Oreochromis niloticus: one gene and its partner. The protein of the gene in region 1 interacts with the protein of each later gene in a biochemical or structural test. Links are inferred from orthologs where the notes say so. Each region holds a gene or a part of one and is shown on either strand. Other genes may lie near its edges. The genes, in order: ral guanine nucleotide dissociation stimulator and rap2aa.

Region 1 (8,290 bases):
ATTACAGAAATAAGAAAAGATTTTACAGGTTTAATTGTTATTTATAATAGAAGGCAGCTCACAGGTGCGATTAAACTGTGCCAAGATTGGTTGAATGTGTTCTTTAGGCTTCTGTCTGTCCTCAGCTCTGGTTCTTTTATCTGAGGTAGAATGAAAACCTGTGCTCTGTGCAGTTCTGCAGACCATAAATCATCAGCTGTGAACGCCTGGTCACTGAAGTTGAGTTATACAGATTTAGTTGATTTTATTAGGAGAAGGGTTTTGAACGTGAATCTTTATTTTTTCTTGTATTAATCCGTTTATCGTGATTTATGGGCTTGTTATTTTCCTCTTGTTACATAACTCGATATCCAGTCTATGTCTGGCTCTCCCTTTGGCTTTTATTTGTTTCAGGTTTATTGTTTGTGAAGCACTGGAGGAAACATTGAGCGCCTGGCAGCAACCCAGGATAACCACCCAGCTTTAATGCCTTGCTAAATGGCCTCCTGACAGGAGGAATAAAGAACTTTCTGCACTGCTCAGTGTCAGCAGGACTAAAATAAGCCGCTGATGTCACTGCCCTAATTTTAATTTTACCCTCGTCGTGATGGGAATCTTTCTTTGGTTAGTGACGTTTGGATCTGCCCTCCTCACATACTTTTGTGAAACTTCTTCTGTAGGTCGGGGGGTGCAGCCTCTCAGTAAAAGCACGAGTGTTTCTGTGTGAGAAAATAAGAACGTAATGCAGGCTGTTAGCGTCACCGTCCTCGGGGAGCCGTAAAACATCAGCCAGGCCCGCAGCAGCAGCAGCAGCAGCAGCACAACAACATCCTCTGGTGTTGATTTCCAGCAGATGGAAAAAGAGCTTTAGTTAAATCGCAGCAGACTCAGAGTTGGCCGGCCCTCCAGGCTCTGTCAGATTTCTGGGATTCAGCCCATGTGGGTTATTTTGTAGGGCAGATATTAGTACCAGTGCTTGTTATTCTGTGACTTTCAGTCTTTCTGCTGCTCTGTTCTCTGTGCAGATGAAACGGCGAATAGTCACGTCTTGCTCGACATGGGTTACGCTATCTTTCAAACCGATCTACCATCTGGGTCAGGCTTTGTGTTACAACAGACTTTAGGATGTTTTTCTGGCCGTTTTTGCAGTATAGTTTTTGCTGCTCTGTTGTATCTTAATTGCCCCTTGGGGATAAATAAAGTCTCTCTGATTCTGCTTCTGATTAATGATTATAAATAAAGCCTCATGTTTCTGTTGCAGCCTGGTAGAAAAGCACTGGACAGGCCACTGAGGGACTGGGAATAAATTGGCACTAAAAATCTTTAAAAGAATATGGAAAGCGTGGAAATTTAAACATTTAAATAACTGGAAATTTCTATCTTTTTTTAGACAAAAACTTTAATAAAAAGCTTTCAAATAAACATCCTGCAAATTTGTGATAAGAGAAACAGCAACAGCCACATTTGATCATACGGCTGCACGATCAGATGCAGCATTCAGAGCTTTTTATGAGGTCACAGAGCCAATTTGAAAATATGCACTTTAAAAATGGACTCATATGGTTTGATTATTGATTATTATTTGTAATCAAGGATACTTGTAAGTGATTTGTCCAATTAAAAAGGAATGAAGTCCATCCATGCATCCTCTTTCTTCCACTTATTTGAGTCGCAGGTGGCTGGAGCTTATCCCGTAGGGAGAGAGGCAGGATATATCCTGGACAGGCCGCCAGTCTGTCGAAGGACTAACACACGGAAACACACAGCTATTTAGAGTCACAAGTAATCATAACCGCAATGCATGTCTTTGGACTGTGAGGGGAAGCAGAGTACCCAGAGAGAAAACCTGCAGAACTCCACACAGAAATCCCCCAGCTGTCCCGAGGATTCAAACCCAGGACTTTCATGCTGTGAGGGGACAAAGTTAACCACTCTTTTGCCCAAGAGGTACAAGAAATGAAGTGAAATGAAACCAAAACCTTTCTTCAAACACTTAAAACATGTTATATCAGGAAACCTGCTTTTACAGGACCTGGCTCATTGGTGTGGTGACAATAATTGAAATTTGTCTGGAAATATCTCCTTTCCCACTTTTAATCACTGGACTGTAATCTTCCACAGTGAACCATGGCTGTCTTGATTTATTGGAAACTTAAATCTGTGTAAACTTTTAGAAACCCGTGTTGCTCCCTCACTCGTCTTCTTCACGTCGGGCAGCTGCAGATTTCTGAGTTATGAAGCGCAGCCGCTTGGTGAGGAAAGGTCGGACGTGCTTGTGGTTGCATTCAGCCTCAGCTGGTGCGGCAGATGTTTTCCTTAAATTTTCTAAAACGTTTTGACACCTGTCAGTGCCTTGGCGTGGAAAAGCAGTGGGTTGTTTCTAAAAAAATCCAAAAAGAAAAACATGTGAATGAAAATCAAGGTTTAATAATGTAACAGTTAGGTAATGGTTTTGTTCTGCTGTTTAAAGCAGGCTGTGGTGAATTTAAGATTTGTTCTGTGTGATTGGAGACGTTTGTTCCTGACATTGACCAGTAGGGGGCAGCGTTAGACGTTAAGTCTTCAGGTTCTTTCTCTGAAGTCTTACCCTAAAATTCCCCCAAGATGCGTTTGTTGAACCACAACACAAATAAATTCAGTTTACTAACAGGGACTTCCTGATGGTGCTTTCAGGTGCTTTCTGACTGTTAAAGTCAGGTTGTTTGTTTTTATGGTGTGCAGCAGTGCTTTGAAAAGGTGTGTGCAGGATAAGGTTATATAACATTGAGATCTTTGTGTTCAGGTGGTTTCAGTGAGGATTTGTTTCATTTGCTCCTAATTGTTTGCAGCTGAAAAGTTTGGTCAGCGAGCTATTTCGATATTAATCTGTAATTTAGCTCATTTATTTTGGAAAAATTATTCAAGCTTTTCATCTGAGGACCTGCTGATTTTCCCTGTTGTATTTTCTAAGTATAGTAAGATCAGACAGGATGTGTTTATTCTAAAAGTTGGCAAAGAGTTACAGCAGCTTATGACAAAACAGCTTAAACAGACTAGAAAAAGAACAGCGACAAAGCTAAATAGATCAATAGGGTAAAAATTACAAAAATGAAAAAATCTAATAAGTAAAATTTAAAAAGCTCAATAAGTGAAGATCTAAATAAAAAAATAATATAATATACTTCTTGTGTAAAGTAAAAGCGCAATACATTTGATTAATCAAAATAAAACGGAATAAAAATGTTAAACACTAAAATGTAAGTTGAAAAATTTAGATTTTAGACACACAAAATTAGACTTTTTCCCATTTAAATACATATTTATTTGTCATCTTCCCACAAATATGTTTAAAACTCAAACCATTAACCTAAAAAGACAAAAAAACAAAACAAAAACCTAAACAATTATAATTAAATGATCTCTTGAAAGAGCTATAATCTCAGTAAAACTGCTGAAGTGTGACTTAGACTTTTATAACGAGTTATCATACTCACAGGTAATTTGTTTTTTTATATTAATGCATAATCAATCTTTGGAAAACTAAGGGAAAAGTACAAAGTTGCCCTTTTGAAAGGTGTTAGAGCAGCACTGTACTGTTTTAAACTGTACGCCACCTTTAAGCTGTGCTTTAGTGTAACAGTGGAGGAGAAGGTGGGGGAAGCTTCGTGTTGTTTGCTGAGCTGCTCTGGGCTCACGGTAAAAGTGTAACTCCAGCAGACTTCACTGTTTTCTTTTCCCACACAGTCCTCCTGCCACAGTGAAGGCACAAACAGCGCCGTCATTTCCCAGACACATGAGTAAGAGCGGGGGAGTAAGTGCTGCCTTCAGGGACGTCTCGCAGACTCCCGTTTCATACATAACAACTTTATAGTGTGCTTGTGTCGCCCCAGGTTACTTTAGTTACCTAAATTTAGGTGTGATAAAATAAAATGTGGGAAACTTGAAATTAAAGTTAAAAGCAAATATAAACTTCTGTAATTAAATAAAATTATTTTGTGACCTTAGAAAATTAATCACTATAAAATTAAAATGCAGATTAAATAACATTACTTCTGGTCTGTTAATTTGAGTGATGAGGCTTTGGGGAATGTGCTTATTGAGATAATAGGCTGTCTGCATGTCTGTGAGTCCACTGCCGTCACAAACTGTGTTTCTGTTGTAATACTCATTTTAATTTTGTCCCTGATAGAGAACCTCCAGATGATAATATTTAAAAAACAAAGAAACAAAAAAAAACAAACCCAAATCTAAAACTAGGGCTGAAACTAAAAAATATTAAAGTAGAACAAAATATTTTCCAACAATGAAAAAATTAACTGAAATGAGCAAACTCACTCTGTAAACTAACTGGAGAAGAGAAAAATGAAAACTATTATAATTGGACTAAAAAATATAACAACAACAACCGTAGAGTGTTTTTTGTTTTTGTTTTGTTTTAGCACAAAGTAAAAGTCTGATATGGTGACGACCGTAGTTATAAACATTAAAGTATCGTTAATAGCATTTCATTACATCTGTGTAAATGAAAAATAAGTAAATGAAAGAAGTAGTTTGTTCCTTTTCCATGAAGAGTACGTGTTAGATGTTTAACAGCAATTTTGCAAAGTTGTATTCACGTTAATGTAATTAAAGTTATAACTTTTTAAAAATGTGTATAATTTGTGGGATTAAATACAAGACAAAACATAATTTTCGCTAAAGCCATCCTGTGCGTTTGGTTTATCCGACAGCCCTGAAGGCGCCGATAGCTGGGGGCGGGGTTTAGAAAAGCCCCGGTGTGAGTCAGAGCCGTGATAAACTGTACTGAGAGAGGCGATGATCACACAGAAGCGTTAACCTCAGGCGGTAGCGGCAGTGTGTGTCTGTGGGAGCCCTAAAAAAACATTAGAAATGTCAGCGCGGGGGTGTGACTGAACTCTGCGGGCATCCATGGTCTATTTCCCGGGGATGCAAGCCGAGGCGCGTAGCGTCAAGCCGGGCCAGCTGCTCGAGATGTTTGACTCTTCGTGGAGGGTGCGGAACATTTGGGACGGCGTGAGGCTAGAGGTGGTTGAAGACCGCAGCCCGGTGGTCCTGCACAGCTTCACCCACCTGGACCCTGACCTGCCGCTGGTGGAGGTGAGGAGGATGGGGAGGAGGAGGAGGGTGAGGAGGCAAGGAGAGGTCCGTTAGCTGATGCGGTTTGTTGTGTTGTCATGGAGGAGGGTGGATCCAAAGAGGTTTTCAGGCTTCGGTTGCGATTCTGCAGGAATAACACAACACTTGTCCTCTTAAAGAAACATTTTCTTACCGTTAAAACAGAGATTTATGATGTTTCTGCTTTATATCCTCGTATTTCAAAGCTTTATCTACTTTTATGCCCATAAAACATGTTTAAATTTGCGTTAATTAAGCTTACATTCAACATGGTGAGTCACCCAGGTGATGCAATGTGCCATAAACGCTCTAATCCTGTGTTTTTAAGCCTTGTAAACGGATTATCAGTATAAAGCTGCTGATTGGCTGCATCTTACAGTGTTAATACAGTCTCATAACAAACATAACAATACAGGGAAATCTAATATGATGCTGCGGTGCTGCTTGGCACTAGAGTACAGTTACAGGATGACTTGCTTTTTCATGTTGTTATTGAACCTTTCAGCCCTGTGGTTATCACGCCTCCCTCCTTCTGATTCTCTTTGATACTGAAACCCTCCTGTGCAGGTGTTGTTGAGTCAAACCTCACCAAATGCCATGAAATATCTGCACGTTTGATACTGAGAGTGGTCGTTTGTCATTTTGCAGAACGATGCTTTCTGCATCGGTCGCTTGTACTTCTAGGGGTTTTTCCACATGTGCGGGCATACATTGAATCAATCGTGTTATTTACAGTTTCACTAGTTGTTACAGGATGTAGTGGCCTGTTACTGCAGCAACATGATTCATTGATTGGTCAACAAAGTCACCTAACAAAGGAGCGAAGTTAAGATTTTGTTTTTGGTTCTGATCTAATTCATCAGACAAATGTAAACCCATTCAGTTAGTTGTATCATTTTTAGGAAGCTCCGCTGCAGTTCTAAATGTGGCCATGATTACTGTAATTACAGATTAATCTGTAGATCATTACCCCAGCTGTTTGAGTCATTGTTTCGTTGTTAGAATAGTTGTCATGATAAAGATTACACATGGCTTCTTTTGTCCAATCAGCAATCTGAAACAGAAATACTTTAGTGTAATTTCATAGAAAGCCGAAGAAACAAGCGGGTTTTCAGATATAGAAGCTGCAGCCAGCGAATCAGATGCTTTTACATGTTCAGGTCACGATCAAAGTGAATCTAAAAGTAAAAGCACACACGCAGCAGAATGACTTCAGTGTGTATTACATCAAAAACACCCTCCGAGGGAACCGTGAGCCTCTGAGTTCTGGGTTGGGCCTCCGTGGATCGGTCCAGGTTTAATTGAGTGGATGCTTGATTAAATTGGGGTGTAGTTGGTGACGTCATTGTCTGCATTCACTTATTATTTGTGCTCTGATATGTCTGCATCACTGGAGCCGTTAAATCTTGAGCAGCTGTTATTTTTACTGAAATGAAAACAAGAAAAACTGCATATTTCTGCCATTAAAAGATGACAGCATCTCACATTATTAATCATTTACTAATTTGTATTTCGTGTTTTCACTACATATTACTAACAAACAGACCTGTAACAGCTGCTGAAGTGTTTGTGTTGTGTGTACTGTATTTATATTTCTAGGAGGGCTAAAGAGCAGATTTAACACAGTAACGTGAACCCTCTGTTGTCTAAGTCAGCATAGGCGATAAAAACCAACCCTTCACTACCCTGGCCCTAGTTTTTAGAGGTTGGGTTGATCACTGTCTTAGACCTCAGATGGACAATCAAGAATTAGACTCTTGTTTGTGTTCCTATAGAGTTGAATTGTGATGCTAGTAGAGCTCAGATCATAGCCTGTACATGAAAGATGGACATAGCCACTAGTTGGCACTAAAAATGTTAGTTGATTGAACAAATTATTTTTATTTCATTGAAGTACAACAGCAGTTGCCTGCTGGTTCAACAATGTTAGGATGCCACTGGCTGGTGCCCCTGTAACTTCAGTCTCTGTCACGTTGCATGAGCCAGCGCGGTTCAGCAGGACTTCTGCACGGAGCTGTGTGTGACCACATTCAGTTTTTTGTTAATGAGGTTTTAAAGCCTCAGAGTGAACTTTTTCGCTGTCACCATCTTGTTGGTTTGAGATGAGATGGAACAAACTAATGAGATTGAGATATATTGTGCTTTATGGTTTTTGAGTCTGTGTGGCAGTTTAAGTTATAAAATGTATTTTAAAAGACGTAAAACTAACGATTGATACCACAAACTCATCAGGAAAGCGTTTGCTAGGGTCATAGATCAAGTGAGCAGCAGGGGTCTTTATTCATAAAGAATCTGACTAGTCAGTGCAACTAGAAAAGTCTCCCCCTGCTGGGCATTAGAGAGAATGCAGGTTAAATGCTTCACTCTTCAAACACAGGGAGAGTTATCTTATTCTTTAGTAAACTAAACCGGAACATGTTAACATGTTTGACTTTAGAAGACTGAACACACTACAAACCCAATTGCGTGAAAGTTTCAATGCTGTGTAAAATGTTATATTTATGATATGTTTTCTGTGTTCTGTTGTGAATTAAATAGAGGTTTATGGGTATGCAAATATTTTCTTTGCTCTGCAAATTTAGAGCAGTTAATAACAGGAAATCGTCCCTGCAGTATATGAAGATCACGTGTGTTTTGCTTCTCTATCACTACACTGTTTTCATATCTCTAACTCTCATGTTCCCCCCGCCTAGCTGTCCTCTTTAAACCCAGGCTCATAGATATGGTTTCATTGCTAACTATAAAAATTGCCTTTGTTCTGGATTAAATAAACGTTTTCCAGCCTTGTGCTCCATACATCTCGAACATTCGATCACATAAGGTTGAGAGGATGAGTAATCATATTTATTGGTCTTAAACGGAGCCAAGGATTGTATGGCAACGTCACCATGGAGACCATGTATTCCAGTCTGTGTACCTGGATTACATGTTCTCTTCTTTTTACTTTCCGGTGTCTCTTCGGTCAGACTGGACTGGTATCAGAGGTTCATTATTAAACCCCCCCCATTTGGCTCAGTGTGCCCCTGCTGGTCTCCCATCCCCTACTAACCTGTTCTGCTTCGTCCCTTTGCTCTAATCTAATCCTCTGCTCTAACACAATTACCTAATCCCCCTCCTGCAGAGGCTGAGGGGTTTCCTCCACAATCGCTGCCTTTATTCCCCTCCTGCTGCACAAGCCGTGAATGTTATTTGATGC
Region 2 (8,508 bases), on another chromosome or scaffold:
TGTTGATATTGCAGGTGCTATGAACTCCGTATATACATTAGGTTAAAGATGTATTAAGGTTTAAATAAGGTGGGGGGATTCTAATTTCAATATAATGTACAGAAATGAACAGGTGACTTTTAGATTTCTCTACAGAGTTCATAGCTTTTTTGCAACCTACCACCCAATCAGATAACAGTATTCCTTGTTGTAGGGGTAATTTTTTTTTCCCCACCTGTATGTATATCAATATGTTTCAAATATTGACCCATCAATGTAGTCCATTATAGCACAATCTGAAACTGTGGCTAGTGCCGGCAGCATCCCGTGAAGGAGCAATGACCATCTTCAGCCAAAATGCTCATTTTAAACTTGTAACCAATGTGACACAGGAGCTTTCAATCACTAGTCTACGCGTGCAGCTCCCCTTTGATACACGGCCACAACACAAAATCACGGTCAAAAGTCTGACGCTGAAAAAAAGGGTTTGAAGCTGATGAATAATTGAAACTTTTTTAAAAACTGTTTCAGTATCTTATTCTTATCTTATTCCAGTGGGGGTTTTTTCTTCTAATTTTTCTATGTAACTTTGCACTGTCCACTTTCTGCTGTAAGAAAACAAATTTCCCACGTGTGGGACTAATAAAGGTTATCTTATCTTATCTTAAAAAATGCATAAAACAATTTATTCAATGTATAAAATAATTCATTTGATTGTTTAAACACATTTTTTTAATATCAAAACTTATAATTTCAGTTCCAAATCACTTTTGCAAATCAATAAAACTTTTAACCTTAAATTAGCTCCAAGGTCAAGCCCCATTTGTCCTTAAGAAATCAAATTGCAGGAAACAGTTTTTATGCAAGTTTTTTTTTAGACCAAACTGATTTTTAAAAATGTGTAAATAAATAAATAATGTTTCTTTTGAAGTTAGGCTGAAGTCGTGGACATTTTTCATGATTGTGGAAAGTATTTTGTGGTGATCTTTTTTTTTGTATATTAAGAGGATAAAGTTCATTTCACTTAAACTTTGTATTTTCATATCACTTAAGAGTGAGTTCCTTAATAATCTTTGTCTTGTAACAAAGGCGATTGTACAGTATACCTGTTGTGTGAAACTACTCAGTGACTTGTCTTTGCCTCCGAAACAGATCATCCTCAAGTAACCGCCAGAAACAGAAGCCAGTGCCGTGTTGCTGCTGTTAAGGGTCCCGGGCAGCCGTTCTGTAAATATTCTGTTAACAATACACACAAAATACAAGAAGCTGCATGCGGATAACATCTCCGACTTTATCTGACATTAATTTGATCTGTGATGATACATTACATGCAGTTATAATGAACCTCTACATTATACTGTGATAGGTGTCAGAGAGATTGTTATTGTACACGCCTTTGCACCTGCTAACATGCACCTTCAACAATCAATGTGCATTATTTATTTGTTTCCTAAACTAATTCTGATAGGGTTATGGGTGCATTTAGCCACCAATCAAACTTAAATACAACAGATGCTACAGAGAAATAAACTGGCAGTAGTGGCATAATACTAAATGAGACGGTAAACAACAGAGATGTTTTAAATAATGTAAATATTTTAATCATTTCTCAGTCTGTAGACAGTACCTGTTAATGTCAGGTGTAAAGGCGTCCTATATTGTAGATTATATTGCAGTTTTATCATCATCATATTCTTTATTGAATGTGTTATTTAAACTGAGAAAGTTTTGTTTTTGATGTTAATGATTGCTCATCTAGTGCCAGATTTAACTTTTAATCAAAGAGAAAAGCACTTAATTTAACTTTAAACTTAACAAAACATTGTGTATATAAAAAAAAATGTAATCTAACAGCAGGTTTATGGATGTCCCTTTAAAATGCTCTGAGTCCCTCTATACTTCACCCAGAGTAATGGATCAGTGCTCCACCTCCTGGTGTGCCTTTGCATTACATATACAGATTGTTTTCTGTCTTTTCTGAGAGAAATGAAATGTTTTATCCGTTCAAAGCAATTTTGTTTTTCTAATTTAACACCTCTTTAGTAAATGTGCATTATTGCTCAAGACAATTGCTGACTCACTGATGGATCTGTAAATACTTTTCACTTGTTCAAGTTGATATAGCCTCCACAGCCATGAAAGTCAGCTCAGTAAGAGTATGAAATTACTGCTGCTCATATTCAAACTAAAGCTCTTGTGATCCTGTGAGGGTTGCGTGTTGAGTAGTGTCTCAACTGTTAGTCTTAATGTTGCAGTCACTTGTCAGTACTGTATTAATCGAAGGTTACAAGTGCCTAAACAGTTGTTCATGCAATGACTAAGTACATTTTAAAATGGTTGTGTGGAAAAACACTCAGTAAATCTATTCCACTTAAGACATATACATTAGGATTAAATCTACATGTTTTTGCAATACCATGTAAATGCAGTGGTATTGTGTGTGTGGACCTGTTAGTTAGGCTTACAGTTTGTTTTCACTGATGCTTTAATGTGTATGTTATTCAATTTAATTTTCAATTTAATTTGATTTTCTTTCATTTTTACGACAAGAAAGTAGCAAAAAGGGTCAAATACTTTTTGTAGTAAAGTAGAATTTAAGGAGGCAAACATTTGGTGACATGTAGTCATGAGAGATTGATGCGGCATGATGCAGTTACTCATTACTGTCTACTATCTAGCAGCAGACAGGGTGGGCATTGTGTCTGATTAAGAGAAATATTGTTTCTTTCTTTTATTAGAATTTTAGTTATCTATTTTGCAAACAAGGTGTACAAATAGAAACCTTTTCTTGAATGTTTTGCATTTCTTCACTTTTTCATTATATATTTTCCTTGTGATGTTTTACATGTCAATAGAATTTACGAGCATAATTGCATATTTTACTAGTGTAACGTTAGTTAAAAATAGTTTTAACATGTATTCTTTTATTTTGTGATGAATGCAATTTATTAAAATTACTTTAGGTCTGCTGAGGGTTTCTCAAAGGACCTTGATCTGTTAGCCTGTTAAAAGCAGTCTTGTGTCCAGGGATTGATGTTGGACAAAGGAGAAACTTAAAGCAATTCATCCTTTTTGCTGTCTTGTCACCTGTAAGGGACAACAAGCCTTTGTATGACCAAGGCCATAGGTTTGATTTTTATGTACAAAAGTGCATCGTACAGGACATGTTTTCCAAAAAAGAAAAGAAGTAATTTTCATAATGGTGTAACAGTAGTTTGTCATTTATTGTCTGATTTGTTGCTGAGGGCAATCCCAAGTTGCAGTGATGAAAACTGTATTTTTGTAGGTGGTAGATTAGCTGTATCTCCTCACAGTAATTAGATTACAAACTTGGATATTTAACTTTATTATTATATGGTGAAACACTGTGGGTAAAACAGTGCATAAAAGAGAACTTTTGAAATGTTAGTTTCGTGTTTGTTAAGGCTTCCCTCTGCATGTTGAGCACCAAACTTAAAAATGTATTTGGCTTTCAAAATATAATTGCTTTAAAAGTTTAGACTGCTATTAGACATACAATATTTCCCCACTTATTTATTTTACTTTCAAAATAAAGGCATGTTTTTGAATGTTTGTGTTACGTTATGGCAAAACGTTTGAATGTCATGGATCCACCTGCACACAGAGGTTGTTTGAGATCTTGATCGCCCAGTCAAAAAGATGTGAACAGTAAGAATGTTTGGTCTGACTGACTGATGGAAACACTTCTCTTAAGCACTTTTTCTACAGTCAGACAACTGAGAAGACAGGCTTTCTGTGAACTTTGCCTTACCTTTGGTGTATTACTGAGTCTGTATTTGTTCACTAATTATGATTTCTTTGTCGTCTAATAAATAGAATAAACTTCACTGAACCTTTCTCTTAAATTAAGATACACACATTTCTAACATGAGGTCATTATTACAGATTGTAACCACACCTGAAATGGCTGATATTGATTGGCTTGTGGGGTTGGCTAGCATTTTATTGCAATCTGTCATATTTAAACACTGAAGCCTCTGGTTAAGATGTCACGCAACAGCTATTTGGATCCATCCTGTTCTGAATGCAAACATTTTCCCCAAAAGTAATTGTATAATTAATCATTTCTTGTGGATATTTTTGTTCCTGTAAATTCTAAATTGTGTACAATCTGATATTAAATATACATAAATAAATATATGAATGTCGTGTAAATGCCATCCTGTGAGCTCTGTTTAATTTTGCAATGCATCAGCAGTAGAAATCACGTGTCATCCTCAGTGAGCATGTTTTCATGTTTTTGTGTTACCCTTTGCTCAAACAGCTGTCCTGTGGAATTGTATTTATCACTATTAATGAAAGCCAAAATAGTCCATTAAAAAGACTTAACTGGCGGTTTCAATTGGAGTGTAGCCTGTATTGCTCAATATCAAAAAATAATAAAGGTTTATTATATTTTTTGTTTACAAGGTGAGTGACTTTTCACTCTCGATTCGGATAGCAGCAAAATAAAAAAAATTTAAATGCAGCGTTACCATAGCAACAGCATCCGGTGCGTTTCACCTCCTCTTGGATACACATCCCCGAGCCGCCTCCGTGATTGGATGAGCTCTCTTTGGATGTCACTGGGGCAACCGAATGATGGGAATTTTAACACATGAACGGAAATGTCAGCGACGAATCTCACTGGCTTCCTCCGCGAGGCTGCCATTCAGGCACATGTGAGGTGTACAGAAAGCGGAAGCGCCCATTGGGCTGTTCATGTATCCATCTGACGAAGGAGGATCCACAGGCTTTTCCTTTTTTCTTCTTCTTTTATTTTTTTGGTGCCTCGGTACGGGAGCCGAGTGGGGACCGGCTGGTAACGCAGCGGCCGCGGGTCTCCACCCGAGAGTATGGCGGCTGGAATCGCACTGGAGAGCGGGGAAGAAGCGGAGACATGTCAGAGATGGTGAAACAGAAACAAATAGACGCAAGTTCTTTAACTGAAAGTCAGGGCACTTTAATTTGGGAGAGTTTCTCTGAGGCGGTCTGCAGCTTGAAAAATTGCGCCTGCAGTTCATTCCGGGGCTAAGCCAGCGTTTTCCCAGTGTCCTCGATGGAGCAAGTTTGTTTTTTTATGAAGCACAGAGAGGGGTGAGCTAAGCAGATGAACACCCGCACGTTCAGCACCATCGGGCGAGCTTCTCTTTCTCCCTTTGCGCATTTTTCGGACACTTCCAGTCCTCGGATGCTCGTATAACTGTCAGTGTCTGGCCTGCATGGGGGGAATATCTACAATGAAATCCATCTTGGGGTGCCGAGTCTTTGTGCTCTGCCATAGCTGAGCAGCAGCGAACAAGACTGTGTTATTGACAGCCCGTTCAGAATGGGACACGAATGGTGAGCGAGATTCGCACGGGAGCATTTTGCGTTGATTTCAATGACGCGCGGAGATTGATACCTTACGACTTGATTTAAATCCCACGATGCGCGAGTATAAAGTGGTGGTCCTGGGCAGCGGTGGGGTCGGGAAATCCGCCCTCACTGTGCAGTTTGTGACCGGGACGTTCATTGAGAAGTACGACCCTACCATAGAGGATTTTTACCGCAAGGAGATCGAGGTGGACTCCTCGCCCTCGGTGCTGGAGATCCTTGACACCGCTGGGACCGAGCAGTTCGCCTCAATGCGCGACCTGTACATCAAAAACGGTCAAGGATTCATATTGGTCTACAGCCTTGTCAACCAGCAAAGCTTCCAGGACATAAAGCCGATGAGGGATCAGATCATAAGAGTGAAAAGGTTGGTGAAATCATGTGCTGGGGAAAAAAAAGAGTAATGTCCATAATGTTAAGTGTGACTGTTGGGGGTTGTTTTTCACACACATATGCTGGACTCATGGGCCCTGTAGTTTCAGGATGGGTCTCGGCCTGCTTGGAGATGTTATGCATCTTTAAGGCAACAACACTCCATGCCTATTATGGTATTCCAGGTCTCACCCATATTCCTTGCCCCCACGCCTCTGACCCAGCATATAAAGTTCCTGCAGACTTTCTAATGTCTGACTTTAGTGTTTACTAACAGGACAACAGTGCTGATCCTTCCTACCCCTCAGCTCTGCGAAGACACGTCTGTCTTCCTGTCAGAGCAAACAAATAGCGTCAGTGATCTGCCAAGCTGCTGTCTAGTGCCGCTCCGTGTCCACTGGATGCTGCAACCTTTGCGAAACACCCAACCGGGAATACCCAGGATCCAGTGCAAGAGAGGCTCTGCAGAGAGCTTTCAAGAAAGAGTGGCTGAAAAAAAACAAAAAAAGCTGCGGGACTGTTGAAAGCACAGATCTGCAGAGGAGTCACCGTGTTTTTAATTAAGAAGCTGCACAAGCTCTTTAGGAAGAGCAGCACAATGGAAAGCCTGATGTCTCAGAGCTGCTGCACAGATGATCCAGATATGAGGTCACCACAGTGAGCTGCTGATTGACACATGGGAGAGGTTAGCTGAGGCTGCGTGGAGCTGTCATGTTATTGGTGTTCCTTTGCTCTAGGCCAATGTACTGTGCAGATACGCTGTACTGTATGCTCTATGCTCACCTGCTGACATAGCATGAGATTATAAAAGTCATCCAGATCAGATTGGTTAATGTCCTGTATTTGTTAGCTCCGCTTCGGTGTTCCAGTGTGCAGGCACTGTGCGCTGGGCTGCGACTGTGTGGGTTCATCAGTCACTGTAGGTGTCAGTGGATTTGTTACAGTTAGTTCAGAGAGTCAAATAGGCTCCGGAGAGAGAATAAGAAGAACCCTACTGAAATCAACTTATAGTTCATACCGTTTAATAATCCAGCTATTTACTATATACTGTAGTTGGATAAGGTTTTTGTCCCTCCCTTGTCACAGTTCTTCCACTCTTCCACCTCAAAATGAAATATAATCATGCTGTGGATGTTTATTTTTATAGGTTGCCTTTAGTTTTTGTCACTTAATTGGATTTAGACCCTTTCTTTTTTCAAATGCACCTTCTAAACAATCCTATTATTATGTGGCTCCAGATGAAAGAATGAGGTCAACATGTTTCTCCCATATGAGTTGAGTACGAGTAGAGGTATGTCGAGTCTGCTGCGTGAGCGTGTGTCGTCTTGTATGTAAATGGTGTGCGCGTGCGCTCACGGGGCAGATGCAGCCAGGCTGTTGTGTTTTCACACCTAACACTGAGTCTGGTGCCGTTGTCTGATATGACAGCAGAATTTATTTTCCGTAGCAGAAAGATCGCCCTCCACAACACTACTCCCACACAGCAGTTAATTTGGTGCTGGGCTTCATGGGGAGTTAGACATCTAAAACTTAGGATTGTGCTTTTTTTTTTTCTTTAAAAATGTCATATTCAATGCGATTATTAAGCTGTGACCCACATTTTGTATGCACTCCTGCTTTCGGAAAGTTCGCTCTGAATGGCAGTGCGCACATTTCCTTCGGTTATTCAGACTTTTTCTAACATCAGCAAATATCGACCTTGTTTGCTACTAACCATGCAACAAGAAACATTTCATTTAAGACCTGGAACGGCTTGCTTTTACTGTGCTCTCTGCTCCTCATCCATGCTGGCAGGATTAATAACAGCTTCTGATGACTGCAGCTGCATAAGGTGACTTCTTTGTTCCTGAAAAGTGTTGGAAAATCTTGTAAATATTAAACAGCGCTCATTCTGTGCTGCTACATCAGTACAAAGACTGGTGACCAGATTGCACACAGGTAAGAAATCCAAATTCAGTGCATCCTGTGTCTGTTGTACAGTTTGTCCATCAGAGGACACGCTGCAACTTCACTGTTGGCAAAATACATACACAGCAGTGTATGTGAGGAGAAAAGCACTGTGGAATAATACAGTAAGTGTTCACTTTAAGAACTTTGGTCAGTAAGATTGGTAAAGAGCTGTTATATGAATAAAGTTTAGCCTATTTGAAGCCAGGAAAGAAAGCCAGGTTCATATATTGATGCATATAGAACAATAAAATAGATTTAAAATATATATAATCTATTCTCCGTGCACACAGGTCTGATGGATCTTTCAGCAATGATGACAAGATTTTCCAGAATACTGATTGATCACTCTGCAGAGATTTAATACCTGTCTCTGATCTTGAGCAGATTAGGTTCACACCATTGCGATGTACACCAGTAAGAAGTTGTCTGCCATTGTAATACTGAAAATCAGACTTAATCCTGAAATTACCTGGATAAGATGAAACCCTGCTTCTTAGTACAGGCCTCTGAAGGTCCAAGCCACATTCCAGCCAATGGTTCCACGTTGTTCTGGGGACGTACAAGTGGCAGTAGCATCATGAGTAACACACTAAAGCTCTACCAGAGAATGTGAAGAGGACTGCAAATGTACATTATGTAACTAATGGGAGTTTTCTATTCTAAAAGCAAATGCATTCATTGCGTTTGTTAAGCCTTATGTGTCCCATTGGGTAACTGCAAATGTAAACAGAAACTATCACACTATCATATGTAACTGAATAAGTACTAAGACTGTCTGAATGATACCCAAAATTAGCAATGTATTCTGGGCCTTTCAATAGTTTTTTACAT

Evidence for each region.
Region 2: the proteins of ral guanine nucleotide dissociation stimulator (region 1) and rap2aa form a complex in vitro, tested with the Homo sapiens proteins (2 studies listed by BioGRID). The link is inferred for Oreochromis niloticus from reciprocal best matches to the Homo sapiens genes RALGDS and RAP2A.

The regions. Positions count from the first base shown.
Region 1 is NC_031977.2:33,217,230-33,225,519, reverse strand, and holds the start of ral guanine nucleotide dissociation stimulator, read left to right. Parts: upstream 1-4,662; 5' UTR 4,663-4,887; coding exon 4,888-5,076; intron 5,077-8,290. UniProt on the Homo sapiens protein: Functions as a guanine nucleotide exchange factor (GEF) activating either RalA or RalB GTPases and plays an important role in intracellular transport. Interacts and acts as an effector molecule for R-Ras, H-Ras, K-Ras, and Rap.
Region 2 is NC_031987.2:17,417,708-17,426,215, reverse strand, and holds the start of rap2aa (ras-related protein Rap-2a), read left to right. Parts: upstream 1-4,507; 5' UTR 4,508-5,408; coding exon 5,409-5,722; intron 5,723-8,508. Other genes in the region: muscleblind-like protein 2a, read left to right, coding at 1,132-1,259. UniProt on the Homo sapiens protein: Small GTP-binding protein which cycles between a GDP-bound inactive and a GTP-bound active form. In its active form interacts with and regulates several effectors including MAP4K4, MINK1 and TNIK.